Notamacropus eugenii: one gene and its partners. The protein of the gene in region 4 interacts with the protein of the main gene of each other region in a pairwise test. Links are inferred from orthologs where the notes say so. Each region holds a gene or a part of one and is shown on either strand. Other genes may lie near its edges. The genes, in order: SPG21, ALKBH4, NCS1 and DTX2.

Region 1 (7,985 bases), on a different chromosome or scaffold from region 4:
CCTGGATAAGTAACTTCACGTCTCTGAGGGTTAGTTTTCTCATTTGTAATATGAGGTCAGACCACATGATTTCTAGTTCTACTACAATTATTCTATGATATTTGGTCAGTTGGCCAGTCTTAAGACAATATTCTTCTTTACTGATCTACAATGAAACCTAAAAATAGTTACTGGTTTTATATTCTAATTAATTAGCAAAAACTTTCACCACATTCATCAGCTGCAAGAAGTTTCAGATACAATCATAGGAAGCATTCTAATTAAGTTCAGTATTAACACCTGCACAACCACATAACCCAATACTCAGGAAAGTCTGCAAATAATTACTTTCCTCTACTATATCCTCTAACTCCACAAATCAACTAAGAACCCGGGAAGATGGGTCTTGTAACTTGTGGGATCTTTGGACTATGGGGAGCCTAGATCTGGGCAACTTGCTACACTTAAACGTAAGTGGAAAATTCTTCCCAACCCAAAGCCTCTAACCACGGAGAGGCCTGGAACCAAACTGCCTTTAAGAAAAACAGGACGCTAGAGCAGTTTGTTTCCACAAATTATAGGCTCTGTCAGATAACTAAGTGTTACTTTAGGGTTCTACCAACAAAATGTATGTGACTCAAAAAGGTAATTAAAGCTGGATATTCTTACATTAACATTTCATTCTCAATCGAGACACTTGCCTATCATCTCAATTTGATCTCAAAGGGTAAATTAGGACAGGACATGAGAGAGTTTGCAAAAACAAAAAACCCAAAGAGGTTATCGAATGCATAAAGGTAGCCATTAAAAATTTGTAATAAGCAAAAGAAATTTCATTCTGCTTGGATTCATTTCTAATTCTTAAGAATGTATATTTAAAGGTGAAAAAAATCCATCCCCATTCCCCAACTACAATCTTAATCCTTTGGGCTAGTCATTTTATCAAAATTAAGGCATCTGGCACACTAATTTTTACCTGAATGGACTCAAGCTACTGTCATTTAAAAAAAAAATCTACTTAGTTTACAATGAATTTAAAGTTCCATTACAAAATTACATTACAAGAAATAAACTGTCTTTTCTGAGAAGGCAACATTCTAATCTTGCTTAGGAATGGAAAACTACTTATTAGATTTATAAAACTGATTTTAGATAATTTTAGATAATAAGATAATAGATAATAAGGCCAATAAATGAGCTTTCCAAATCACCAAACTGAGAACAAAATGAGCTCTTAAGTTTGGAACTGCAAAGACACAAAAGGCAGAAAAATATGTATTTACACACACACTGACATCATACCCATCCTTAACTTCTTTCCCAAAGCATATCATAATCAAATATACATATTATAAACAAAAGATGTTTCTTACCAATATTTCTTGGTAATGTAGAAAAAAATTATTTCATTTTAACTATAGACTTCTAGACTTAATGATTCCCTGGACAGGGACTAAATTACCGCTCAAGGCAAGTTATGTTTAACACTTGTGCTGTTCTGGCAGTATACGAAAGGTAAGAGATACCAAGTGTTGATTGAGCAACTGACTGCTTAGTGAAAAAGCCTCACAGCTGGGAGAAGAAAACAGCTGGGAACTAACAGGGTGAAAAAGGAAAGTTTGTTCTCAAAGATCCTTTTCATCCCTTTAGAGAGGGTTTAACTTTTCCAATTCACATGGGGGATAAACTATGAGCAATGAAAGCTTAACAGTCTGACCACGCTGGTTAGGTTTAATCAGCAAAGGGCACAAATCAAAACATGGTTAAATTTTCCACCACTTAAAGGGAGAAAAAAGCTCTTTTCCATTTCCGTAAGTAATGCACTACATTTTTAGTCCCAACCCATGCATGTGTAAACATCAAAGCTTCCGTTTAATCCCAGATTCCTCCGATACCTATCCCTTAACGATGCTTGGCATTTGTAAGAGATTTCAAGATGATGAGCACCTGCCTCCTTGGAATCCAAATAATGGTTTTCAGCTTACGTGAAGTGAAATGTCACTGTCCTCACTTGCAGTTCAAGTCCCTTATCCTAGTCTATAGGCCATGACTACACCTCGTGAATAAAGCCTGTATGTGTAAACTGACAGTGACAGCAAAAATAATGTTAATAGGAGAGTCTCGTTTTTCGGGGGGCTCCTGGCAGACCTGCCAACCTAACTAGACCAACGTCAATGGGCCAGAGTCACAGCCAGGGAAACCTTCCCCCCAGTTTTCAGTAAATCCATTTTCACATCTGCCTCCAGCCTTTCTGCAGCGACTTCAGGCCGTTTCCTCTTGCTGTCTGGCCCGGGGGAGGCAGAGCGGATGGCGTGACAACCCCCGAGGCGTCGCACACGGCTACTAAGTTACTGCTCTGCGAGTCTCCAGGAGTAACAAAGTATCCAGCAGAGGCAAGGCGGCCGCGGAGGGCGCGTTCTGCGGGTCGGGAACATCCCCGCACGCGAGCCGCTCCAACCGGCGATTCCTGCGGCGCCCGTCCCACCCGGGCCGATGCCCCCGCCCGGAGCAGGTCGTGGAGTCGGTTCAACCACCACCGGCGTCTCTACCAGCATTTCCTGCCTGCGTGCCCCGAGGCACGAACCGCAAGCTGGGAAAGCCTCCCCGGAGGCCGTGTCTGCACGCACAGGACCAGCACACGGCACCGCAGGGTCGGGACCTGCCCTGCAACTTACGGTCTCGGGGAGTCGCGAGGGCCTCAGGGATTAAGGGACTTGCCCGGGGTGTCGGAAGCGGGACTCGAACCCGGGTTCTCTCGCACTAAGGATGCGGCCCCGCGCGCCTCCCCCGGGGTCCCCAGTCCCAGACCCGCAGCGGGGGGCGCGCCCCCCCCACCGTCCCAGGGCCATTCCCACGCCGGCGCCCCCGGCCACACCTCCCGCAGCCCGGGTTCCCTCACCTGCCGCAGGCCGGCCCCCGCTTCCCTCCCCAGCCCCGGCTTCTCGTGGCGAGCCGCCGCGGACCCAGGCCGCGGATCTGCCTCGGCGTCCGTACCCAAGGCCGAGCCGACAGGCAGGGCGGGGGGGAGGGGCCGCCTCCGGGGGTGGAGCGCGCAGCCGTGCGGGCCGGACCGCGCTCCGCTCGGCGCCCAACAGTCCCGGGCCGCCGGGCCGCGCCGCTTCCGGGGGCGGGGCCGAGGGCGGGGCCGCGCTGGGCGGGGCGTCACGTGAGGCGGAAGTCCGCGTGGGGTGGCCGTCGTCTCCATAACTACGGAGACTGCGGCGGGATGCTCCTGGATCCCGGGCCGTTGGAGCCCTGCCGCTGGCGCGAGGGAGAGACTGGCGAGCTTGGCCTCCCCGGCCGCGTGGGAGCATCAGAGTGACCGGCCGTCTGACCGGACTCTGGGGTGAGGCTGGGGCAGCGGCCCGGGATGGCCCGTGCGGACTGCCCGCAGCTGGCCGCCAAGTCGCTCAGTCTAGCCCTAGGTCTAAGCCCCAGGAGGCCTCGGCCTGTCCCCGAAGTGAGCGCCCCGCGCTCCTGCCGTCCCCCCCAAACCACCCATCCCCCCACGCTTGACAGGGAGTGTTGAAGAGATGCCCTGTGGGAGCAAGGTTCCGAGGTGTGATGCTGGAACGCCCCGCCTAGGTCTGGTCCACCCCCCCATCCAAGATCCAGCGGCAGGTGGCTGGAGCCCCGCGCCCCCCGCCCTGGCCCCGGGTCTGGCCCTTCCCGCTGCGCTCCGCCAGCTAAAAACGTGGCCGAGTTCCTGACTCCGCATTCAGATCTCCAGTCTGAAGTGACGGGCCAACCAGAGGACACAAAGGCACTGTGCGCCCCGCAATGTGCCACCGTACTTTGTGTGAAAGTGAAGAACTGGGAACCGAACACGTGCCGAACACGTGCTGAACTCTCGGCAGGTGCGGCTTCAGACGTCAGCGCTCACCTGAAACCAGCGGGCCGCTCTCCGTCCTCATTGTCTCCTTGACAGTCTCTCTGTGTCTCGGTGCTCTCGCCGTCTGAGTGCTCCATCTCCCTCTCATTTAGGGCAGGTCTGCTGACCATGAGTGTCCCTGAAGACTGCCCTAGGTCCTCCTCTTCTGGATGATTGGGCTTGATGATCTCAACTCCCGTGAATTTCCATGCAGATGTTTCTGGTATCTGTTTGTCCAGCCCTAACCTCTCTCCTGACCTCTAGTCTCTCATCTCCAACTCCCTATTAGGCATCTCTGACTAGAGATCTCAAATTCAGCAAGTCCAAAATCTTCCCCCAAACTCTCCTTCATTCTTCCTAACCCTTATTACTTACTGCCAAGAGTACCATCATTCTCCCAGTCACCCAAGCTTACAACCCTGAGGTTATCCTTTACTCCTCACTTGTCTCTCCTATTCAATCAGTTGCCAGGTCTGGGCATTTCTACATTGGTAACATCTCTCATATATGCCCCCTTCCCTCCTAATACTGCCACCACCCAGGTACAGGCCCTCATTATCCCATTCCTGGACTGCTGCAGTGGCCCACTGGTCTCCCTACCTCAGATCTCTCCCCCTACTCCAGTCCATCCTCCACTCGGCTCTCAAACTGATCTTCCTAGAGCATAGACCCTACTGTATCACATGCCCCACTTTCATAAGCCCCCATAATTCCCTATTACTTCTAGGATCAAATATAAAATCTTTGGCATCAAAGCCCTTCATAACTGTCCCTTCTACCTTTTCAGTTCTCTTGTACCTTACCCTCCACCACAAATGCTTCCATCAAGTGATGCTTGATGTTCCTTTAGATACTCCATCTCCTGACTATACATTTCACTCGCCATCCCCACCCCCAGTACCCCTTCATTTCCACCTCCTGGTTTCCCTGGCTTCTTTCAAGGCTCAGTTTAAGTCCCATCTTCTGCAAGAAGCCTTTCCTAGTTCTCCATATTCTTAGTGTCTTCACTCTGTGATTATCCCCAGCATATCCTTTATAAATATATTATTTGCACATTGTCTTCCCCATTAAACTGTGAGCTCTTTGAAAGCAGTGATTGTTTTTTACTTTTCTTTGACTCTCCAGAACATAGCACAATGCTTGGCCCATGGTGGGTGCTTAATAAATAAATGCTTGTTAACTTGATATGCATGTAATAGAATATTACTGTGCTATAACAAATGAATATGATGATTATGGAGAAGTGTGGAAAGACCTCTGAAATGATGCAAAGTGAAACAATGAGGAAAGTGGCATGCTTAATTACCACAACAAAGAAAATGGAAGGATGACAAAATGAAAACTGGATACTGTGAGATTATAAGGACCAAACTTAGCCCCAAAGAAAGGGTATAGAAAGCACCATCTAACTCCCAAACCCAGTGTGGAACACTGCTTATAATGCCAAACTTTAAAAAAAATATATTGATTTTGTTAAGTTTTTTCTTCTTTTAAAAATCACTGATTACAGGGAATGAGTCTTGGGGAGGGATATTTGAGATATATAGGCATAAAAAACAAAAGATAAAATTTTAATAAAATGATGGGCCCAGTGGAATAGGATAAAGTTTAACTATAGGAATACAAGGTTGGTAGTTATTGTTAGATGACAGTTAATCTGCAGAGGACCTAGGACTTGGAAACTCAATACAAGTCAACAGTATAACTTAGGAATCCCCAAAAGCTAATACAATTTGAGTCATGGTGCCCAGAACAAAGACTGAGACTTTGAGTCAGACCACCTGGTCCCGTCTCCAGTACTTACTAGGTATGTGACCTTAGGCACGTCACTTAGTCCACTCGAGGCCTTAATTTCTACACCCGTAATTTGTACTACCTGCCTCTCAGCGTTATTTGAAAAAATGGATTTGTCAACTAATACATAAACATGAAGTGGTATTAGCCTACCATCTTATGAGAGTATCTTAAATTTTTCTTCCAATGATAAAGCTCTATATTTTAAAATACCTTTTGGCTTTAACTACCTTAATATATCCCACCTACTCTCAATGAGCTAATCCCTTATATCAAAGAATAAAAAATAAAGAGAAAAAAAAACGGTTCAGGAAACCAGATAACCTGGTAACTATATCTGCCAATATTTGCAAGATTCTACACTCCAGAGTTCCAACCTCTGCAAAGAAAGGATATATATTTTCTCAATTCTTTTCCAGTGCCAATCTCATAATTACAAATCATTCTAAAATTCTCTGATACTATGATGCTATAATGATGCTAGATAGGCCTGAAGCTAGGTTTTATAGAACCTAAATCTCCAATGCTACCCACCCCTTTTGCCAGCAACAACACTTCCCTCACAACACAAAATACTGATACGTCCATATTTGCCAGGCCTTATCTATACATGCTGTGAAAACTTTCCTTTTCTAATATTAAAGATAATATTTGGGCCAAACACATAATGAATAATTTGATTGTATCTCCTTTTAATGGATACCACTGATATGCTGACATTTATATTTTTAATTATGCAACAACAAATGGTAGGTATGTTCTCTAAATCTTTACAAGAGTAAGATACATTTATTATCTATATGTTCCAGCTGCCTCTAATTCACAGCTGTTTGGAGTATACTTTTCAAAGACAGAAGCCCACTTAAGCACAAGGAGACTGCATGGCTAAGATACAAAAAAATGCTCACTGTTGATTTAATAGTTCACAAGAGGGGTTGGCAGCTGTTGTGGGTAGGGTCCACCAGATGGTTCTCACAATACTGTCATCTGTTAGAAACTTAGCTGAAAACCAGAATGTCCATGAAGTATGCTTTTAACAAATAACCCTATGGATTCTCAGAATTTCCAAAGCAATAAGTCTTACTGCCACAGCCTCACATACAGTAAGAACTTCAAGCTGAGTCAGCACGTGAAAGGCAAAAGGGAACAGAAAACCTGGTTTTGTAAAAAAAAAAAAGGGGGGGTACAATTGATAAATGGTCAAAGGATATGAACAGGCAATTTTCAGAAGAAGAAATTTAAGATATCTATAATCATATGAAAAAATGCTCTAAATCACTATTGATCAGAGAGATGCAAATCAAAACAACTCTGAGGTACCACATCACACCTATAAGATTGGCAAACATGACAGAACAAGAAAATGATAAATGCTGGAGAGGATGTGGGAGAGTTGGAACACTAATTCATTGTTGGTGGAGCTGCGAGCGCATTCAACCATTCTGGAGAGCAATTTGGAACTGTGCCCAAAGGGCTACAAAAATGTGCATACTCTTTGACCCAGCAATATTGCTACTAGGACTGTATCCCCAAGAGATCATAATAATGGGAAAGGGTCCCACATGTACAAAAATATTTATAGCACCACTCTTTGTAGTTGCCAAAAACTGGAAGTCAAGGGGATGTCCATCAATTGGGGAATGGCTGAATAAATTATGGTATATGAATGTAATGGAGTACTATTGTGCCATAAGAAATGATGAACAAGAAGACTTCAGAGAGGCCTGGAAGGACTTATATGACCTGATGCTGAGTGAAAGGAGCAGACTAAACAGATATGGCCTATATTGAATTGCCTGTCTTTCAAGGGGAAGGGGTGGAGAGGGAGGGAGCTAAGGAGGTTGGAACTCAAAGTGTTAGGACCAAATGTAATGTTCTTACCACTGGGTAACAAGAAATACAGGTTAAGGGGTCAAGAAAGCTATCTGGTCCTACAGGACAAAAGAGAAGACGGAGACAAGAGCAGGGAGGGAGGATAGAGGAGAGAGCAGATAGGTCACAGGGGCAATTAGAAAGCTCGGGTTTGGGGGGGGAGGGGATAAAAGGGGAGAAAATTTGTAACCCAAAATTGTGTGAAAATAAATGTTAAAAATTAATAAAAAAAAAAAAAAAAGAAAGGAGCAGAACCAGGAGAACTTTGTGCACAGCAATGACCACAGTGTGCGAGAGTTTTTTCTGGTAGACTTGGAATTTCGTAATAACACAAGAACTTCTTAAAAAAAAAAAAAATCCCAGTGGTGGTTCTCTAAGGCAAAATGCCTTCCACACTCAGAGAAAGAAATATGGAAGTCATTCGCAGAATGTAGCAGATCATGTTTGTGTATGTGTATGTTTTTGTGTA
Region 2 (7,144 bases), about 200 kb from region 4:
ACGTTTGGCTTCCGGGTTTCAAGTGTGCTTTTCTTAAAACTGTGTGTTTTCAGGATCAGTAGCGCTGTTGGGTCCTGGACTCATTTCTTGACAAATCTGGGTACTGGCTCCCTTTCTCTAGAACTGTCACACAGGTTTTCCTTGGAATGACAGAGCTATTTCCAGGAGTTCCTGCCCTAGTTCTTCCTGCTTTCCTCCAGGACAGAACTCAGCTGACAGTTCTCGGAAGGTGGCACAGATTCGGTGGCTTTCAATGTGCTGGCGGTGGATGGCATGTTTCCACTGATAGCGGGCAGCCCCAAACAACACGAGCAGGGACCTGGCGGGTAAGTGAATGGCCACTTCCACAAGGTCACACGGAACAGATCTCCAGGTGCTCTGACCCTCCTCTGGGTCTCCCATCTTTGTGTCATTGGGCAAGGAGTTCCCTGTTCCCTGCTGGGACACAGAGAGTAACTGAAGTCTCTCATCTGAATCCCGAGACATAGATAGGACTGTTGGTGAGAGCAGATTGAGGCTGACTAGCCGCTCTCCCCAGAGCCAGGAGTCATCCAAGTGGGGGTCGATTGCAGAGCCTCGTTCAGGGTGGTAGTCCAAGTTACACTGTTCAACTGGAAGGAACCTCTCCAGGATGGGGTGAACCCCCATCCTCTGCACAATTTCCCGACTGAAGCTGGGCAGGCCATCAAAGCTGCCAGGTTTCAGCTTCTGTTTCCTAAAATTGACTCTGGGGCCATAGTCCTATAGAAAGGGGAAAACAGAAGAGGGCAAGGAAAAAGGAATGGTGATTTTCACTTAAAAAAAAAATTTCACAGCCAGCAATTTCCTTATCAAACAAATCTGAAGTAAGTGCCTAAGGAGTTGAACAAAGATATCCAGGTAGAATGGATTTCTAACTCAAATGTCTGTAGGCCTAAACTAGCCATGGTTCAATGACAGCCACTGAGCCCTGTATCTGGGGGCCACCAGTGCTCCCCTATCTGTGCTATGGGGCTTGAGCTCCCTGCACACCTTGGGAGATGGTCTCTGGGGGCTGCTCTGGCCAAAATAATTGCCACTTGATGAGCCCTCCAGTGAGCTGATTCCCCAGACAAATGGTGTTTCTAGCTGGACACCTTTCTGGCTTGGTAGGATCCACCTGAGCTTGGGCTTCTGCTGAAGAAGACTTCAGGGGAGGGCGTTGTTATCGGTACACAACACAGCTGGGAAGTGCTATAACACAGCAAGATGAACACTAACGGCAGAAGGGGATAGCAACTTCCATCAACCACCTGTGGCTGGTTCCATTTGCCACAGAAACAATTCTGCAAATGGTGATGCATAGGCTGTACCTGTTTCCTTCTTCCAGACTGTGAAAGTTTCCAGTCATCTTGATCCATTAACCGAACCAGTTCAGCTTCCTCCTCAGCACTAACAAAGTTTTTTATCAGAGATACTCCTGGGAAAGGAAAAGCCCAGCCAGCAAATTCTGATTTCTCTGTTCCTACAGCCAAACCCGTTTCTGAACAGTAGATGAAATGGGCTGTCTTCTGCAGAGGAAAAGACAGAAGCAAGGTCCTGGAATGAGCAAGTTTCATTTTCAGGGGTCAAGTCTCCATGATCATCTTCTGTCCTCACCAGGGAAGGAAGGAAACAAGCACTCATTAAGCACCTTATACCTCATTTGATCCTTACCTTGGGAGGGAAGTGCTATTATGATACCCATTTTACAGAAGAAGAAACTGAGGCAGACAGGTGAAGTGGCTTGCCCAGGCTCACAGAGCTAGTGTCTGAGGCTGGATTTGAATTCACTGCTCTGTTCCCAGCCATCCCTGGGTAGATAATCTCAATCCCATGTTCTTTTTCCTGAGAAGCTGGAAGTTTAACAATCTATTTCTCTCTCCCCGGTTCCTGGGTTCTAGCATATCCAAGTCTCTCCTCCTCTGCCCATTGCCTGCTCCCCCTCTATCACTGCCCCCCAGCCACCAGCCCCTCCTGACTCAGTGTTCCCTGCAGCCCCGGGGCCCCCAGTTTCACTGATTCTTCTTTTCCCTCCTCCCCCATTCTTTCTTCCAGCCCAGGCCCATAACTGTTTCTCTTTTAGGCAGGAATCCTGAGGGTCTTCCCCTCCCAGTTTGATTTGGTTTTTTTGGATTAAAGAGGCCATCCCTTGAGTAACTTAAAGAAGCCTATTCACTGAATGGGTGTAGAAGTGAGAATGCTAGAAGACCTTAGCCTGAAAGGGCCAGGGTCTCCCAGTGCATCCTGGGCCATCTCCAGTCCTCCGGACCAACATCAGGCCACTGGACCCAGATGGCTCAGGAGGAGAAAGTGAGGCTGGTGACCTGCGCAGCCCTCCCTCCCTCAGACCAAAGTCAGCTGCAAGTCATGTCACCATCTTGATGTCACGGTCCTCTTAGAAGGAAGGACGAACACAACCATCGGCCCTCCCAAGACTCCCCCGAGAGGCCCCGCAGGAATCCCATCCTCGCTGACCCGGACCGCACAGACGCGTGCCCGTCCCACCACACGGTGCAGCCTGGTCACGGGGGCGGCCTTGGAGGAGGGGGGCCGTCCGGCGGGGCCCAGCAGCGCCCGAGGACGGCTCCCACCGGCAGTGGGGACTAGAATGGGCAGGGCCGCCCGTCCCACGCCGCTCATCGGGGCGGCAGAGCGGAGACGGAGCACCGCAGGAAGGACAAGGGCCCCAAGCCGGGCTGGCGGCGGCCGCCAATTTCAGGGCTCTCGGCCTCGGTCTGCCCGTCTGTGAAATGGAGCTGACGACGTCTCCGCCCCCACGAAGCCCCTGGGGTGAAGAGCCCCGCCCGAAGCCACACAAGTAGGGGGGTGCCCGCCCAGGCCCAGGCGCCCCTCCCCACCGACTCCCACCTGTGGGGGCAGGGCTCCGGGCACGCCGCCGCCTCGCTCCCGCTCGCACAGCAGGCAGGTCCGGACTCCTTTGCAGCCGCAGCCTCGAGGCCGCGCCCCGCAGCCGCTCCGGCCCCCGCCGCCCGCAGCCGCCATGCCGGTGCCCGGAACGCCGCCGGGCGGGCAGCCTCAGCGGGGCGTGTGCGCAGGCGCGAGCCGCGGGGGCCGCTGGGAGAGGTAGTCCCGCGGGGCCAGGACACGTGGGATCCTGCTCGGCCGGGCCCTTTTCCGGCCGGCGCCGCGCGAACCTCTCCAGCTCGAACCGCCGGCAGAGGCCGAGGCCGCGCTCCGAGCTTTAGCGTCGCCTCCGTCCGGGCCCCGGGTGAGCTCGTGGAGACAGCCCCAGGTGGCGGCCAGCCTCGGCGTGCAGGGCCTCGCGGCGGGGAGGCAGCGTGCGCCTGCGAAGGCCGGCGGCCATGGGCCGGCTCAAAACCCCGCTGCTACTGCAGAGGGGCTACCCCAAGTCCGACCGGCTCGGCAGGATCAAGAAGCTCGAGTAAGGCTGGGCGGGGACGTGCGCGCGCGCGCGTGCGCGTATATGTATGTGTGCGCGGGGGAGGGAGGACACGCGTGTGCGTGCGTTAGCGTGGTGCGAGTGTGCGCGTGCGCGCCCGTGTTCCTCCGCATGGTGCCTTTGGGGGCCAGTGTGCGTGCGTCCCTGCGGCGCTTCTGTCTCTGTGTCCCCCTCTGGCTCCTTGGTGACTGCGTGCGCGTGCGTGTCCGCGAGGTGCGTTGTGCGCGTGCGTGTCCGCGAGGTGCGTTGTGCGCGTGCGTACGCACACTGCCCTCCAGCTGCTTCTGCCTGTGCGGGTGTCCGCACCCTCGCCGCCACGCCCCCAAGCCCCGGAGCCACAGGTGCTAAGGTGGCCACCGCGATGACCCCCGCCCCCTCCGTGCCCCCGCCAGCTGCCCGGTGTGCTTCTCTGCGTGCCCACGTCGGTCTTCGCTGCGGGGTCCTGTGCCTGGCGCAGCTCAAGCCGGGCCTGAGGGTCAGGGATAGGGCCCCTGCCCGCTAGTGGCCACCCTGGAGCCGGGGCCCCCTGCCCCTTGGTGTCCACCCGCTGGTGCCCGTTCTGGTGCCAGGGCCTCCTGCCCGCTAGTGCCCGCCCTGGTGCCGGGCCCGGCTCCCCTCCGTGTGACTGTACTTTCCGTGGTACCCCTGCTGCTGCTCGTATTATGCAGGCTGCTGGAGTCCCTGCCCCCCTTCCTGCCCAGGGCTGTGACTGGTGCTCCAACCCTCCTCCTGCCCCAGTGGAACCGAACTGTCCCTCACTTGTTATGGAGAGCCAGAAGAGTGACCTGGGCAGAAGGGACGACACAACTCCCTTCCTTGAATGAAGGGGTTCAAAACTACTTTTGACCCTTGTCCCTGTGTGCCCCAAGCACTATGTCCCCTCTCATCCTTCCCCCTGCTTCCCCCTCAGTCAAGGAGAGGGCAAAGCATGCTAAGGACAGACCCTGCCCTCAGGAAGCTCACCCTGTGGTGGGGGAGACCAGACACCCAGAGAAGAAAGCCCCCCAGTTTTCACCAGACTGGGGGGAGCCCAGCCCTTTAGACCCTCCACCCCCTCCCCCCTTTTCCCCACCACAGTTTGTCAAACCTTCAGCTTCAGACAAAAGACCTGGACCTCAAACTCCTCAATCGAATGAAGCAGCTGAAGGAGCTGGATCTGTCAGATAACCTGCTGGAGAAGGTGCCTGAGGGCCTGGACCTGCCCTGTCTGCAGGTCCTCAAGTGCTCCAACAACCAGCTGGAGGATGTCACCCCCCTGCAGCAGTTTACAGCTCTGGAGGAGGTGGATTTCGAGGACAACTTATACCTGACGGTGAGCTGGGGCAGGGGTCATCCACCGGCATTTCTTTAGGAAGTGTCTACTAAGTGTGCGGTGCTGTGGATTATGGGAAGAGTGAGGGATGGATGGAAACAGGCACAGAATCCAGTAGGAGAACCTGAGTTCAGATTCCACCTCTGACACCTTATGACCTTACTGGTCTCATGTTAGAAGTGCAGAAATTCTCATTTTCTCATCTAATTGAACAGGATATTTCTTAATCCAGTGCTTTCTCTCTGTTGATTATTTCTTATTTAGCCTGTGTGTAGCCATGTCTCTTTAAAAACATACATAATGTGATATACAAGCATATGTGTGATGTCATGCATTTGTCTGTTTATAGCACATGTGTGTTACACATGTCTTGTGTCATGTGTATTATATTGTTTAATTTTATGTAACCATGTGTATACATAAATGCATGTACATTAAATACAAGCACACCTGTACTATAATACGTGTATACGTAGGTATAACTGTTTGTACGTCACATGTTTGTGCACAGTTGTGTGTGTTGTCTCCCCATTACACTTACAAAGACCATCTTTTGTTTTTCTCTCTATCCCCAGCAATTAACATGGTACCTCGAATATAGTAGGTGCTTAGTGAGTGTTTGCTGATTGACTAGATGGTCCTCAAGAGGCCCCTTTAGCTCCAGGTTTAGGATCCTGTGCTGGGGACTGTAAGGGATGCACAGCCACCAGGAAGACCAAACAGGCCCTGCCCTCAAAGCACATGGAATTCATAGAGGGATAACACATCTGTGAAGGAATATTCAGAATAAGTAAACAGTAAACACAAAGTAATTAGGAAGGAGGGCTCTGGGGGAGGGCTGGGGGTCAGGAAAGGTGTCTTGTAAAAGGTGGGAGTTGAGCTGAGTGTTGAAGGAAGAGAGGGATTTGGTAAAAAGGAAGAACATTCCAGGAATGGGAAGCTTGTAGTCTCATCTAGAAGCCAGGCCTGGCAGAAGAGGGAACGTGAGCTGGGAAGGGGCCCTCTGTGCCAAGGCTGGAGGAGAACCCAGAGCTCAGGGAGCTTACAAGTGGTGCCTGTGGCAAAGCATCATGGTCCAGTGGGAAGGGGACCAAACTAGCCTGGGCCTCAGGAGATCCGTCTCTGCCACTGACTTGCTGTAAGGAAGTTATTTAAGATATCTGGGGCTCAGTTTGCTCCCGTGTAAAACTGATGGGAGCTAGGGAGGTGAGGAGAATTTAATCAGCTGGTCTCTCAGGGGACATTTACCTCTGACATTGGGACTTGGTAGCTTGAGGTCTGGATTGGTGGCAAAGATTGCTTGTTCCTGAGCTTGTCTGTATTCACCCCCAGGTCAATGACAATTACAAGATCTCCTCTCTACTCCCTAACATCAGAAAAATTAATGGAAAGGAAACAGCCTCACTGATGAATCATGTGAAGATCCTGAACCGGGAACTGACCAGTCGAGTAAGGATGGCAAGAGGTCAGGGTGGGGAACCTTTCAGGGGCCGTGCATAAAACTTCCTGCTGGATGTTGTAAGCTCAAGAAGTTCCCCTGAGGTCAACAAGTGCTTTCTCCCCCCAAAATATGATTTGATAGAAACACCGAAAGTGTTGCTAATGCTGTCCTCACAGGTCAGATAGTGGCCCTCAGTACGCGAATTGACCTTTACTATATGTTTACAGATTTATCATTTTGGAGTTTGTCTAAATAGGGGTTCTTAACCTGTACGGGTGGATAAATTTCCAGGGGTCCTTGGCTATAGATGGAAAAAAAAATTATATCCTTGTTTTCATTCATCTTTACCTGAAATGTAGCATTTCCTTTGATTTTTAAAACGTCATTCTGGGGGGGGCGTGGTTTGTGTCCAGCAGAGGCTTCACCACTTTGCCTGCCAAGGGGTCTGCCCTGGCAGCTGTCCCGGGGGTACTCTGAGGGAATGGATGGTCCAGGAAATTTAGTCTATTGTAATTGCTGTTAATAGGAATCTTCACCATCTCCCTGCCTGAGGAAACACAGTATCTACTTCAGTATTTTGATGTAGCTTTAGGCCCCCAACACCAGCCATCTTTGGGATGGCCCGTAGGCATCTCAAACCCAATGTATCTCTAGTGGAATCCATTGTTTTTCTCACTGAATGCACTTCTGCTTCCTTCCTTTGTTCTGTTGAGGGTTCAACCATACTTGTAGTCACCCAAGTTTAAAACCTTGGAATCTCTCTCTGTCATCTTCTCACCAAACTGGTCTATTCGTCATCTTCTGTGGACACTATTCCATCTCCCACATCATCAAATCTTTGGACAGGCCATTTCCCTTTTGCTTACAAGGTTCTCCCTCCACATGATTGCCTACTGGAATCAACCCAAACTTGAAAAATCCACATTTCAGCTCACCTATCACTTGATCATCCAGTCTTGGCTTGAAAACT
Region 3 (7,258 bases), on a different chromosome or scaffold from region 4:
TGGATGTGGGATCAGAGGATCTAGATTTGAATCCAGACTCTATCCCTAGTAAGAGGCAAGCCATAACAATCTTGGGGCCTCAGTTTGATTTGAGAATCAATGAAATAACATAAGTAAATAAAAAGTACTGGACAAATCTCTAAGCACTAGCTAAATACAAGCTATTGTTATTTAAATGAGAAGGCTGAATTAGATAACCCCTGAATTCCCTTTCCACAATTATTATCTGGACATTATTGCCATGGACTTTTCATAATGAATAGGGCCATCTCATAGTTCCCCAATTACTGGGCTCCCTGCCCTGGGCACTTTGAAAGAAGCCTAGTTAATGTAAGTTCCCAGGTTATAAGAGGGATGACCTGAATTTCAGCACTCTTTAGCTGATGGGAGCCATTCTCCCCTACAGAGGGAAGGGATCTAAAAAAGTCACCCAGAATTGTCATCCTGCATTGGAGGCCCCACCTCTGACCAGAATTTGAAGCTCTCCAGTTGACCCTCCAGAAGATACTGAGAGAGCAGCCCAACTGAAAGAGACTGTTTCATATATTATAAGCCACAAGCCTCTGGCTCACATCAACCATACCATACCACTCATCCTTTATCCAAAAGAGCAGAATAGAGATGTTAAAAGAAGTTCAATCTCCCACCCACTCTGTAACACATTAGCTAAGGACACAGCTCTTAGCCCTTTGTTCCCTCTATCCATCAAGAAACTAAACACTAGAATTTTAATTTTGAGATAATCTCACCCAGTGGAAACTCCAAGGACTAAGGACCCATAGAAATGGCTAGAGTAAGCCCTGTTCAACAGGCAATCTGGTGCTAGAACCTGACCCTTTGTTCTCTGAGCATCTAGGCTTGGCTAAAAGGGAATAGAGGCTGGGTATGGGCTCACAATGCCATGCTGCCCAGCAGTCTGATTGAGCAGCGAAGAGGGTTAGTTAGGGTTGTGCAATGCACCACGGGTGCCTGCCTGCCTGACTCTCCTCCATCCCTGGACCTGAAGGATGTTAATCTCTTGCCTTCTGGGTTTGAGGGGGAGGGGAATGGATAGAGGCAGCACTGCAGTGGTGAGTGAGAATGACACCCAGGTGTTCTGTGCCTGCCATTCCTGCAGAGAAGCCTGGAGCTTGAGGACTGGCATAAGGGCAGCTATCTGGCCTTCACAAGAAAAAGAAACAGCCCAAGAAACCTATAGGGAAGCCATAGGTTCTGAAAGCAGATTGATAACCCTAAGCACAAAGTGCTAGAAATATGCAAAGGCCAAGGTGGTTATAGCCAAGTTGCCATTAACAAGACTTAGCCTGCAGATCATGTCTAAGAGAGGCAGGAAGGCAGATACAGAAAGGATATGAATTGAGGGACAGAGATAGGGACTCATTAGGGGAAGCTGAAAAGTTAGAAAGTCATGCAAGGGATGAAGATGGTATGAAGAGACACATTATGCAGATTAGACCTGGAGACTGGAGGATGGAATTAACAACTTTTCCTCTCCTCTCCCAGTTCTCGGTACTTTAAGTTTTTAACCCTAAAGGATCAAGGAGGGGACAAGTCAATGAAGAATTCTCCCTGAAATTCTCCCAGTCAAGAAGGAACCTTCCCAGCAGACTGAGCACCCTCCTTTCCCTCCCCTCCCCCCATCCACATACTCCTGGGAGGAGAGGGGGGTGGGAATCAGCTCACCTTGCCAGTACACGGTGATGCATGAATCACCCACCCTCTGGAGCTACTCCCAAATCGAATACCTATTTGCCAGGATCACCAGCTTGATGCTGCCAGGAGTCCCTCTACATGAAAAAATCCTCCTCCCACCCCACCCCACCCCGTTTCTCTCCGCAATCCACGCTGTCACAGCAGCACCAATAATCTTGTTATTAGGAAGCTACTTTATAATAGCAAAGTGGGCCTTCGAGGACACACTGTGCCCAGGCCTGAGGTGTGAGGAGTGTTAGGGAATGCCTGACGGGGAAAACTAAGACATAAAAATACAATTGACAGCAACAGCACATGGCCCAACCCTGGTCAGAGCTGCGGGGCAGCATCAGACTTCAGAACAATGGGGCCAGGTGTGAACGCTGGAAGCAGGAGAGAAAGATGCCCCCATAGCCCGTCTCCTAAATCACAGCAGCTTGACAAGGGTAGGTGTTTAAAAGGGATTAACGTGAGAAGGAGACTAGGTAAAAAACCGAGGAAGAATAAGGAGAAAGGGATGGAAGGGAGGACGGAAAAGAGCTGCGTGGGGAGGGCAACAGATAAGGATGGGAGGAGACGAGAAGGAAAGAGGACGAGATGGGGGAGGGGGGCAAAATGGGGGTGAGAGAAGAGGTAAGAGAAGGGAGGAGGAGGAGAAAAGGGAAAGGAGGAGGAAAGGGAAGGGAGAAGGAAAGATTGGGGATTGGGGAAGGGACGAGATGTGGGAACAGGAGAAAGAGGGATGGGGAAAGAGGAGGGAAGACCCTCCCTACTCACAGTAGGTCTTCCTGGTCAGTTCTTCTACTACTTCAGGCTTTAACTTGCTGTTGGATTTCCCCATCCTCTGCGGCCACGTCCCCCGCCGGGCCCGAACCGACTAGGGCATAAACCCCGGAGCGGCTCCAGGCCCAGCCGGCTCTCCCCTGTCCCGCCGCGGGGGCTCGTCCTAGGCGGCCCTGCACCGGCTCGGAGCAGGGGACAGGGGCGGGGGGCTCTAGGGTGTCTTTGTCTCCAGCTCTCTCGGTGCTGACCGAGGTCCCAGCTCGCTGAGCTCCGCGCGCCCTGGGCTCCCGGAGGGACTCGGAGTGAGGCCGGGAACAGAGATCCCGAGAGGCTTTTACATGCCCAGCCCGCGGGGAGCTGGCTCCGCAGGCCCGGGGGCGGCAGCCTCAGTCCCTTCTCCACCTACAGTTCCCAAATCCTGCCGCCCGCCCTCGGGGCTCTGCTGTGTGCGCTGGCTCCTGGAGGAGGCCCGGAGGCGCGGGGGCGCGGGGCTGCTCTCTTCCTCCTCCTCCTTGTCCTCCTCCTCCTCGTCCTCCTCCTCCTCCTCCTCCTCCTCCTCCTTCTCCTTCTCTTCCTTCTCCTCCTCCTCCAAGGGAGCTCTGTTGCTGTGGTTGTCCCTGGTTACTGGACTCCCTAGCACATGCTCCTTACCGCGGGCCCTCTCTACTCCTCGCTCGCACTCTCTTTCTTCCTCCCTCCCCGCCTTTACCAGCTAGCCCAGGCTCTGCGGCCGCCTAGAAGGAGGTGTTAACCCTAAGCCGTCAGTCAGCGCGGCTGCTCCGTGCTGGCAGGGCGGGGTCCTCTCCCCTTCTCCCTACCTACTTATTGCCCCGCTTCTCCCCTCCTCATCCGCACCCACTCTCCCCTTTCATTTCCTCCCCTCATTCCTCCCCATCCACTAGATTCCTTCTCCTTTCCCCTCTTCCTTCCTCTCCTTTCCCCTGCTCATTCCTCTTTCCAATCTTCTCCTTTTACTTTTTCTTTTCTTCTCCTGTGGCGTAATGACTAGACAGGATTTGCAGTCTGGAAGACCTGAGTTCAAATCCAATCGTAGACACCAGCTGTGTGACCCTGGACAAGACCCTAGTCACTTTATCTCTCTGACTGTTTCTTGGTCTGTAAATTTGGGGGAGGGGGGGCGGGGACCGTTAAACTCAATGACCTCTAAGGTTAATAAAGTCCCTTCCAGCTTTAAATCTGTGATCCTTTGATCTCCCTTTTCTCCCCTTTTCCCTTCGATCCTTCCTCTTCCTTCCTCCTCTAATAAAAAGACACCCTTCCCTCCCTTTTCCGAGCAACTTAAAATCTTCTGACACTTATCAGTTGCCATAACTAATGGGCAAATCACATTTTGGTTCCTCAGTCTCCTCCTCGGTACAATAGGAAATAATACTTGCATCTGTTTCGCCATTGTAAACTTTAAAGAATGTAGGAGGGTAAATTGTTCCTTCCTTCTCTGCTCTTGTCTCCTTAATCTAATTTTCTTCCCACCCTTCCACAGCTCCTGGGGAGGAATTGGGAAAGGTCAATCCACGAAATAATTTTATGTTACTTTATGTCGCATCTCTAGATAAATGTTCTTTCCTATATTAGCCAGATGTAACTGAGAAAGAGAAATCAGGAATCCCAGAAGAGGCTAAGAAGCTGCTCCCCTCCCACCCCCACCCCCAAATTGAGGGCTACCCTTTCCAGACTGAGGCAATCATCCTCCATGCTTCCTGCGTGTGGCGTCTATCTCTACACACACACACACACACACACACACACACACACACACACACACACACACACACACACACACACACACGCTTGGAGCTTATGGTTAGTTGGGAAGGTAGTAATAGACAACAAATGACTGGAGAATACTTACAAACCATCATATCAATGAATAGAAAGAAGAAATAAGCTCATAGACTTGGACCTGAAAGTGCTTAGAGGTAATTTTGTTCCACTCTTTGGCTTTACAGATATGAGAGCATTTATAGGGTGCTTTACTCAGGTAGCTAGGTGGAGACATCTTCCTGAGTTCAAATCTGGCTTCAGATACTTACTAGCAATTCGATACTGGGCAAGTCACTTAACCCTATTTGCCTCAGTTTCCTCATCTGTCAAATGAGCTGGAGAAGGAAATGGCAAACCACTTTGCCAAGAAAAACTCAAACGTGTCTTTGCCAAGAAATCCCCAAATGGGGTCATGAAGAGTCAAACTTTCTTATTTTCAAGTGTGGTAGAGATTAGAAATGGAGATGAAAATGGGCACTAACAAAGGGCTCCAGTGATGTTAATGAAAATATTCACAACCATGTTACAAAGCATAACAAGATATGCTCAACATTGGCATCTGGCAGGAACAATATTTATTTTAACCTTTAATTACCAAGAATCTCCTTAAAACTGGTGAAGATGAATCTTGAGAATAGATCAACGACTGGTTAAAAAAGAAAGCTGGGAGCATGTACCTTACAGGCAGTCTAGCAGCAGAAAGTATATTAGGCCTTTGGTTTCTTTATCCTTAAAATCAGTTTAATACTCAAACTATCTACCTAGCAAGTCTATAGTGAAGATCAAGCAAAATGATGTATAGAACACTTCAAAGAGTCATATAAATGTAAACTATTACAATGTTAGGTAAAAGATACTTTAAAATCCCTCTGGAGAGGTATTCTCTTGAGTCAACTTTATGAAAATGCAAACATCTCTAGTAGCCATCCATATATACAAACATGCTTATTAAGGTGAAAATGTGGTAAAACACAGAGAGAAATATCAGTCCCAGGGATATATCAAATCCCTCTGGGAATGGCAGTGACTGGAAAGATGCCAACTGGAATTCAAAGCTCAATGGGGGAAAGAAGTGATCCTATTTCTCCTGGGATGAGAGAAGACAAACACAATCCACTCTCACAGTGAAACTACCTAGCTGAAATTTATCTCTGTTAAAAAAAAAAAAAGGCAGGTGAAGACATATGTTACAGCCACCCAGGTCCTCTGTGTTCTGATTTGGGACATATCATGATGTATGGAGTCCAACTGGAAGCTTGTCCACTCTACTAGAACCACAGACTAACCTGAGAGGCTCCTGAATATATATATATTTTACCTACACTGCTCTATCACTAATAGCCATCATCCCATATTTCTCTTCCATTTTATGGCTAAACACCTTGAGAAAACTATCTTTACTTCATGCTTACTCCTCCTTCTCTCCTATTTTCTTTGTGACTCTTTAGTATGGCTTTCTGATCTTATCATTTAATTTAAACTTCTTACTCTAAAGTTACTGATGATTTCTTAATTGCCAAATCTAATGGTCTTTCTTCAATCCCCAACATTCTTGTCCTCCCTGCAGCTTTTGACACCATCAGTCATCCTTTTCTCAATATTCTCTTCTTTTCAAGTTTTCCTGACACTAACCTCTCCTGGATCTCCTCATCTTAACTGACCACTTTTTCTCAGTCCTCATTGCCCACTAATCGAGGTCATGCCCACTAATCATGTGTGAACCCCAAGGTTCTGTCCAGGGCCTTTTTCTCTTCTCCCTCTATACCACTTTTTCTCAGTCCTCATTGCCCACTAATCGAGGTCATGCCCACTAATCATGTGTGAACCCCAAGATTCTGTCCAGGGCCTTTTTCTCTTCTCCCTCTATACCATTTCAGAATCCATTGATTCCATTATCATCTCTATGTTGATGATTTCCAGTTCTGCTTATCCAGGCCTAACCTCTCTTCTGATGTCTAGTCTAACATCTCCAACTGTCTATTGGACATCTCAAAATGGGTGTCTTAAGCTCAACATGTCCCTCCCTCTTCTGTTTCCAATTTCCCTTTTCCTGTGAAGTGCACCACTGTCCTCCCAGTGACCCAGACTCACAACCTACATCCTCCCTCTCAACTCTTCCCTCATTCCCTACCCTCACATCTAATCTAGTGCCAATTCCTGTTGATTTTACCTTTATAACATCTCTTATATGAATGTATAAGTAGAGCCAAAAAAATTCCCCATCTCACATCTGCCCCTTCTGTCCTCTGACACCAATCCCACCCTGGTGAAGACTCTGTTCCCTGCCTTCCCTGACTTTAAAAACCCCACCTCCTATAGAAAGCCTTTTCTAATCTTCCTCAGCATTAGTGTCTTCCCTCTGCTGATTATCCTCCATTTAGCCTGTATTTAACTTGTTTGCAAATAGCTGTTTGCATATTGTCTCCTGTATTATACTGAGCTCCTTGAGAATATAGATTCCTTTTTTTACCTTTAACACAATGCCTGGTACATAGTAGGTGCTTAATAGATGCTTTTTTGATATGTGCAGAGGACTATAAAACTGTTATACCCTTTGATCCAGCAATACCCCTACTAGGTATATGAGGAAACTATATCCCAAGGAGATCATAAAAATGGGAAAAAGACCCACATGTACAAAACTATTTGTAGCAGCTCTTTGTGTGGTAGCAAAGAATTGGAAATTGAAGGGATGTCAATCAATTGGGGAAAGGTTGAACAAGTTGCGGTATATGAATGTAATGAAATATGATTGTTTTATAAAAAATAGTGAGCACGTGGATTTCAGAAAAACCTGAAAAGACTTACTTACATGAACTTATGCTGAGTGAAGTGAGCAGAACCAGGAGTGCATTGTACATAGTCACAGCCACACTATGAGATGACTAACTTTGATAGACCTAGCTGTCCTCAGCAATACAATAATCTAAGACAATTCCAAAAGACTCATGATGGAAAATACTGTCCACATCCAGAGAAGGAACTATGGAGTCTGAATGCA
Region 4 (7,003 bases):
TTGCCCAACCAGAAAAATTCAACACCCTAAGGTCAATCTGGCAATAAGAATTTCCCAACATAGCTAGGCAAGTTTTGAAGCCTTTGAAGCTTGCCTTCTGCTGGCAGTCTTTAAAAGCCCAGTGGGGGCTCTTTATTCAAGCTACCAGGAATCCTAGAGTTGGGTGGCAAGCAGTGGCATTAGTCTGTCCCATTAGGAGGCATCAGAGAGGATTTTAATGGAGAAGAAAAGAACTTTCATCTAAACCATGGACAGCCCAGGGTCCTCTGATTCTGACTTAACAGCCTGTTCCCTCAATCAAAGTCCTACCATCAGGACAACCACCAGGCTTCAGCCTCACTCTTACATGCAGTGCCACCTTAGAAGTTAAGGCAGGACCGAGTAAGAGTAAAGGCAACTCAACATGATATGACATGTCACCAGGATGATTACATAAGGAAACCCAACAGTGTAGCCTCTGGGCCTCCCCAAGTGGCTTCGGGAGACTTCCTCTCTAATGCCTAGCATTAAGAGATTTGATTGTTTTAGAATGCACCAAAAGCTACCAGAAGACAAATATATATGTATATATATATGTATGCATCCTTCACGTAAAAACCAAAAACACAAGTTTCCCTTCGAGACTTTCATGATAAGTGGCCCTCACTTGAGGGAGTCAGTCTCCAAGTGGGAGAGCACTAAAGTTAATCTTCAAAGACTAGTTCAACACCAGCAGCTGGCAGAAAGCCACCCTAAGCCCCCCTCCCCTCCCACACCTCCACTCTCCTTTGTCAAAGCCACTTTGGGAAGGAGACATCCAAAGCCAAAGTATCCTATCCATTCTGGTCTTTTCTCTCCAGAGAACTGGCACAAACTGGAGACACACGGAAGGGAAAGGCTTGGTTTGATTTGCATTTTGATATTAAATATGAGCAACAGAAACCAGGCCAATCTCAAAGGCTTGCTGACTCAGCCCCACAAATTCCAAGGCCCATCTGTGTCTGTCTGCCAACCAATGACAAGGGAGATCAGATTTTAATTGAAAAACAGCAGCGATGGAAACAGAAGCACAGCTGTTGAACGGCCTCCCTGCAGCTGGGGCACTGGTAACATAGGCAGATTCGTTTCCAGAGTCCACTGGATCCCATACAAGTCTCTTCTCAGCAAGAAACTGAGGGAATACCCCAAGTTCACACCCTAGCCCTTGGATCGGAGCACCCACATCAAATCTCCTCTCCCTATGTGTCAGATGGGAAAAAGACAGGAGTTATGAGCACAGCCACTGCCACTCAGCAGAGCACTCAGGTCCTTGATTTTGAGCCACCAGGAATCCTAGAGTTGGGTGGCAGGCAGTGGCATTAGTATGAACTCACCCTGTAATTTTTCCTTAAAAAAAAAAAAAAAGTACAGGAGACCTGGACCTCGCCAATGCTTTCTGCTACTGCATGAATTGACTGAACAATGCAGATATGACGGGAAGGATTGTTCACCCCCTCCCCCAAAAGGATGCTACGAGAGGTGTGGGGGAAATCTAATAGACTCTTTGAGAGCTTATTTGTTTTTGTTCATGAGCTTTCTAAGTCCTTTAAATCTTGTACATCTTCTGTATGAAATTACAGTTGTCCCATACCCAATGTGTTTTTAGAAAAAGGAAGGGAACAACTATGCGGCAGGCCCGGTGTGTTCAGAGTTTTACAAATATTACCTCATTTAATCCGGAGAGGCAGGTGCCATTATTATCATCCCCTTTTAGAATGGAGGAAGGCAGAGACTAAGTGACTTGCCCAGGGTCACACAGCTAGTGTCTGAAGCACCCTATGAACTTAGGTGTTCCTGACTTCAGGCCCAGCACTCTCTAGACTCCTATACCTAGCTAGCTGCCTTTTAGGACCCTGTGTGCCTAAGCAGGAGCTGGAGAACCTGGGACACATTTGGGGAAACTTGGATGTAGGCTATCTCTAAAGTTCATTGTGGAAGTCTCCCCAAATTAAATTTTAAGACGAAGGTAATGACCAAAGGAGAATACTCTCCCGTTAAGGTTAAGTTGGTCTGTGGGAGCCTGGGGCGCTCCCGAGGTTCCTGGCTAGACCTCCAAATTATTTCGCATTATTCTTTATGTATTTTTCCCTAATATTTATACGAGTTTGTTTCACTAGGAGGTAAGGGCAGAGCAAGGGCTGTTTCATTTTTTTCTTTGTATGCCCAACGCCTAAGAGAGCAGCACATGCCAGGTGCCTAACAGAATTGTGGAATTGGAAAATGGGCAAAATGCAGCCTGGCCGTGAATTCAGGAAGTCGAATCTACCCTAGTGCCTGGGAAGTCAGCCCGGCCCCACAAAAAGAGGGCTGAAAAAGAGGAAACTTAAAACGAGAACGGGCATCCCAGCCCCGGGAAGGGGAGAAGACCGAGACGACTCCCAAGCAAGCGTCCCCGCGCCCCCGAACGGCCGGGCAGCGCCCGAGGATGTGGCCGGGTGTCCCGCGCCGCTCAGCGGCCCGACCGAGGGCTCCGACGGCGGCCCCCGAGCCCCGAGTCCGCGCCGGGCGGCGCTGCCTTCGGGCCCGGGGCCCCGCCCCCACCGCCCCGCCCCCGCCTCCGCCTCGGGTCGCCGCTCCGGGCCCCCTCCCCCAGGGCTCTCCCTCGGGTTCCTCCTCACCCGGTCCCCCGCCCCCTCCCCCAGTCCGCCCCCTGGTTGCCCCTTCCCCACCCCGCCCCTGACCCCGGGACCGGGCCTGTCCCTCCCGCGCCCAGCGCTTTCTTACCGGGGCTCGAGGCTGCTTTGGGGCCACCGGGCTTCAGGCGGCCCGGCCGGCAGCAAAGGCCGGTCCGGTCCAAGCTGGCTTCAGCTTCGAGGCAGGGCCGACGGACCGGAGCGACACACAGAGTGAAGGGAAGCAGCTCCACAGAAACGCCTCCGTCGCCGCCCCTCAATGCGCATGCCCCGGCGCGCGGCCCTCCGGGAATCGTAGTCCCCAGGGCGGGGATCCACGGCCACCTCACCTGTTCGGACCCTTCTGGAGCAGGGCGGAGCCCCGAGTGCGCTTGCGCACTCCAGACTCGTGTTCGGGAAGGCGGAGCGGACCCCGGAGGGCGGGGCCAAGAAACAGAAACCAGAAGCCGGCTGGGAAGGAGGCGTGGTGCCTGGAGGCAGGGGCATCGCCCCCTCGGCCCACCTGCTTACAGTTGCTCCTTCCACTTCCCTTTTGTAACTTTGTAAACTCTCTGCAGCTGGCTTCTGACCTCATCGTGCCACAGTGACCTTCCCAGGCTTGTGCAGCCTTGGACTCTGGCCACCGCTCTGGCCTCTTGACTCTTGATGCACTCTCCCCTTGGGTTTTCTGGACATCCCTTTCCCTCTGGTTCTCCTCCTATCTCTCTGACCGCTCCTTCTCTGTCTCCTTTGCTGGATCCTCCTCCAGATCATACCTCCTAACCCCAGGTTCCCCCAGGATTCTGTCCTGGGCACTCCTCTGTTCTCCCTTTCTACTAACTACATCACTTGGTGATGTCATCAGCACCCAGAGGTTTAATTAAGAACTCTATGCTGGTGATTCTCAAATCTACTATCTCCCCTAACTTCTTTCCTGACGTCCAGTCTTGCAGCTTCCTATGGGACATCTTCAAATCAAATGACAGGTAGTCAAAAACTGGACATCAAAGGGGTGCCCATCAAATGGGGCATGGCTGAACAAGTTGTGATATATGAATGTAATGGAATACTATTGCGCTAGGAGAAATGATGAACAGGGAGACTTCAGAGAAGCCTGAAAGACTTCTATGAACTGATGCTGAGTGAAAGGAGCAGAACCAGGAGAATTTTGTGCGTGGGCCACGGTGGGAGGAATTTTTCTGGTAGACTTAGTACTTCATTGAAATGCACGGGCTTAAAAAATTTCCAATGGACTCTTGAGGCAAAATACTTTCCACATCCAGAGAAAGAACTATGGAATTGGATGGCAGACAGAAACAGACCATTTTCTTTTGTATTATATTATGTTTTGTTTTGTTTTGTTTTATGGTTTCCCCCATTCATTTTAATTCTTCTATGCAACATAGAATTTAATAGGAATGTACGAGTGTAGAACCTATATAAGATTGTACACCCTCTCAGGGAGGGAGAGGGGAGAGAGGGGGGAATGAGTGGGAAAAAATCTAAGGTATATGGAAGTGATTGTCAAACACTGAAAACAAATAAAGTAATTCAATAAAAAAATTAAATGACTCATTAATATTATAAACTCAATAAGTCCAAAACCTACTTAATGTCTTTTCCTGCAAACCAATCCTTCACACCTATCACTGCTATCAAACCTTTCCATGACTATTACCTCCAGGGCGTTTGCAACCTGGAACTTGAGACAGGTTCACAATCTGGCACCATCTTACCTTCTCTGCTCTATTTCGCACTGTTTGCCTAAACACAGACTCTAAGCTCCAGCCAAACTGGTCTGTTCTCAATAGCCCTAAATATGTCCTGTTCTCTACCTCTGTGTCTTGTTTCTAGCTCTTCTCTATGCCTCAGCCTTGAACCTTAGCCAGTTGGGAGCATATCAACCAACCAATCATAGGCTTTAGACTAAGTAATGAAAAAAGTCCTTGAGTAATCAACTTGAGTAATGTGTATAGAAGGTGTTCTTATTTGTTGAAGAAATTTTGCGATGGCCTATGAGACATATAGAAAACCAGGTCAGAACCCCCCACCCCACCCCCACCTCCCTGTTGGTACTTGATTTCACAGACTGTCAGATACACCACATTGGAGTGTGGTGGAGGCTGGGGAGTGGACAATTGGGTTTTCACAGTGAGATGGAGTTTTTCTGGGGCATCTCACAGTTTTCTAAGAAACTGTCTTAGCACTGATAATCAGTTTGTATCAACTGAATTCCTATTATGTACCAGACACTGTAATGAGAGAAAGAGGGATGGAGAGAGAGAGACAGAGACAGAACAGAAAAAAGGGGAGAAAAAGGAGAGAACAAAGAGAGGAGCAAAGAGAAAGAGAGAAGACAAGAGGTCATTCCTACCCTCAAGGACTTTCTATTCCAATGGAGGAAAATCACACACAACCTATGTAGGGGCAAGGTGGAAAAGTCTGGAGGGTCAGGAGAGGAGCCAGGAGAGACATGAGCATGGATGGCCTGTGCACTTCTTAAATGGTGGTTCTGTGTGTTCATCCTTCGTTGCCAAAGAAGACCATGCCATCAGAGAAAAAATGACCTGACTTGCACTTGACTTTGTTTTGAGTGAGGGAGAGTTGTGCAGGTCACCAGCCTCACTTCTCCTCCAGAGCCATCTGGATCCAGTGACCAGACATTCATCAGGATGACTGGAGATGACCCAGGATGAGGCAATTGGGGTTAAATGACTTGCCCAAGATCACACAGCTAGTGAATGTAAAGTGCCTGAGGTGAGATTTGAACTCAGGTCCTCTTGACTCTTGCACTGGTGCTCTATCCACTGCACCACCTAGCTGCCCCAAAGGGTGGTTCTAATCAAGAACTCACTAATAGGAGGAGGGGGCCACCAGGCAGAAGCATCCCCAGGATGAGTAGCCTGCTGGGGTTGAAATAGAAAAGACCAGGAGTGGGTTAATAAGGACGTCCAAAAAAGCAGAGAGAAGGGTATACTCAGCTAAATTCCTGCAAGGGGAGAAGAGCTCCAGGCCTTGGCCTCTCACAGTGTCTCCACACCCACTCCCACTTTACACCAGAGGAGAACCTAGTGAATTTTGGAGTCCTGGAGAACTTCCCAACTTGCTGCTGGCATCCTGGCAGCATTCTTGGATCAAGTCATGGCTGTCTGCCTTAGGAACCAAAGACAGACTGGATGCCAATTCAAGGTGCTACCAAGAACTCTGCAGAAAAACTACACCACACCTAAGGGGGACCATCTTGAGGATCCAATGAAAGGACTCCCAGGGATCTGCCTTGGCTATATGGGTCCTCTAAACTTGAGCCCACATTCCCACGGATTCTGTGAGAGAGTGTGTTGCAGACATTCTGGAGGGGATGGAGAAGAGGTTTGTATCAATTGTTCTTGAGATACCGTGAGAAATGGCCTATTGCTAGGCTCCAGCTGGTACTGTAATTGACTACTGATTCACCTGCCTATGTTCTGGGAAGTTCCTTGGTACCTCACAGCTGCTTTAAGCCAGAGATATCAGACTTATGCACCCTGAAGTGGAGGAATCAGATTAAAATGTAATTGGGAAATGTTTAAAAAAAATAAATAAAAAATACAGTGTAACATAGATGATGTTAATCTGTGGTATTCTAAGTCAAAATGGAGCATAAATTCACTTCTATTTGAATCTGACACCTCTAATTTAAACCAGCTTTATTTAGACTCTCTTAACCATAATCAGTTTAGCAAACATACTCTCCCTTTACTCAAGGTTAGCAAAAGTTCTTAATCCCAATGGCCCTGCCATTGCTAAAGGGCATTGTAGTCCTGGCCACTCATTGATTGAATGTCCCTAAAATGACTGCCTCATTTGGTCCTTGTGAATCTGCCCCCACAACAGCAATCAGATATAAGGACAGAGACCCAGATTTCTGGACTCTAGAGTGGGGTACAAGGCCCACTTTATGCTTGCACCACTAACGCCCATACTTTCCTAGGAAACTAAAGTGCTGAGGACCCTAGTGCCTGCATGCCTTTCATTAATAACTGTATTACTTTTGATTGCTGGCAACTTCTGACCTTTCTTGGGAATCAACCAAGATCTCACAGACTGGTTGTTGTCCTTCATTCTCCAAGAGGACCAAAATGAAATCATTATGCTAAGAGTCAAGTTGCAGTATATTGGACTGTGGCTGATCAGACCAATATGAGCTCAGAATGTTCTACCACAGATCAGGCACAAATAGTCCATGAGAACATTTGGGGTGGATTCTCCAAATTTGCACATCTCGCATTTCTTTTGAGCTACTTCAATTCTGCTTTGCTTTCAGAGCACAGCACCTTCTCTGACGTGGGCGCATCATGTTGAGTGATCCTGTACCAATATCTCCCATGTCACAC

Evidence for each region.
Region 1: the proteins of DTX2 (region 4) and SPG21 interact in binary tests that used the Homo sapiens proteins (3 or more experiments, as listed by UniProt). The two-hybrid records come from large-scale screens. The link is inferred for Notamacropus eugenii from reciprocal best matches to the Homo sapiens genes DTX2 and SPG21.
Region 2: the proteins of DTX2 (region 4) and ALKBH4 interact in binary tests that used the Homo sapiens proteins (3 or more experiments, as listed by UniProt). The two-hybrid records come from large-scale screens. The link is inferred for Notamacropus eugenii from reciprocal best matches to the Homo sapiens genes DTX2 and ALKBH4.
Region 3: the proteins of DTX2 (region 4) and NCS1 interact in binary tests that used the Homo sapiens proteins (3 or more experiments, as listed by UniProt). The two-hybrid records come from large-scale screens. The link is inferred for Notamacropus eugenii from reciprocal best matches to the Homo sapiens genes DTX2 and NCS1.

What each region holds. Positions count from the first base shown.
Region 1 is NC_092872.1:127,366,285-127,374,269, forward strand, and holds the start of SPG21 (maspardin), read right to left. Parts: upstream 3,015-7,985; 5' UTR 2,879-3,014; intron 1-2,878. UniProt on the Homo sapiens protein: May play a role as a negative regulatory factor in CD4-dependent T-cell activation.
Region 2 is NC_092873.1:51,643,114-51,650,257, reverse strand, and holds the start of ALKBH4 (alpha-ketoglutarate-dependent dioxygenase alkB homolog 4), read right to left. Parts: upstream 3,004-7,144; coding exon 2,869-3,003; intron 1,530-2,868; coding exon 1,332-1,529; intron 742-1,331; coding exon 127-741; 3' UTR 1-126. Other genes in the region: LRWD1 (leucine-rich repeat and WD repeat-containing protein 1), read left to right, coding at 3,324-3,403, 4,499-4,733, 6,066-6,182. UniProt on the Homo sapiens protein: Dioxygenase that mediates demethylation of actin monomethylated at 'Lys-84' (K84me1), thereby acting as a regulator of actomyosin-processes.
Region 3 is NC_092872.1:481,788,530-481,795,787, reverse strand, and holds the start of NCS1 (neuronal calcium sensor 1), read right to left. Parts: upstream 3,019-7,258; 5' UTR 2,534-3,018; coding exon 2,470-2,533; intron 1-2,469. UniProt on the Homo sapiens protein: Neuronal calcium sensor, regulator of G protein-coupled receptor phosphorylation in a calcium dependent manner. Directly regulates GRK1 (RHOK), but not GRK2 to GRK5. Can substitute for calmodulin. Stimulates PI4KB kinase activity.
Region 4 is NC_092873.1:51,444,232-51,451,234, reverse strand, and holds the start of DTX2 (probable E3 ubiquitin-protein ligase DTX2), read right to left. Parts: upstream 3,016-7,003; 5' UTR 2,743-3,015; intron 1-2,742. UniProt on the Homo sapiens protein: Regulator of Notch signaling, a signaling pathway involved in cell-cell communications that regulates a broad spectrum of cell-fate determinations.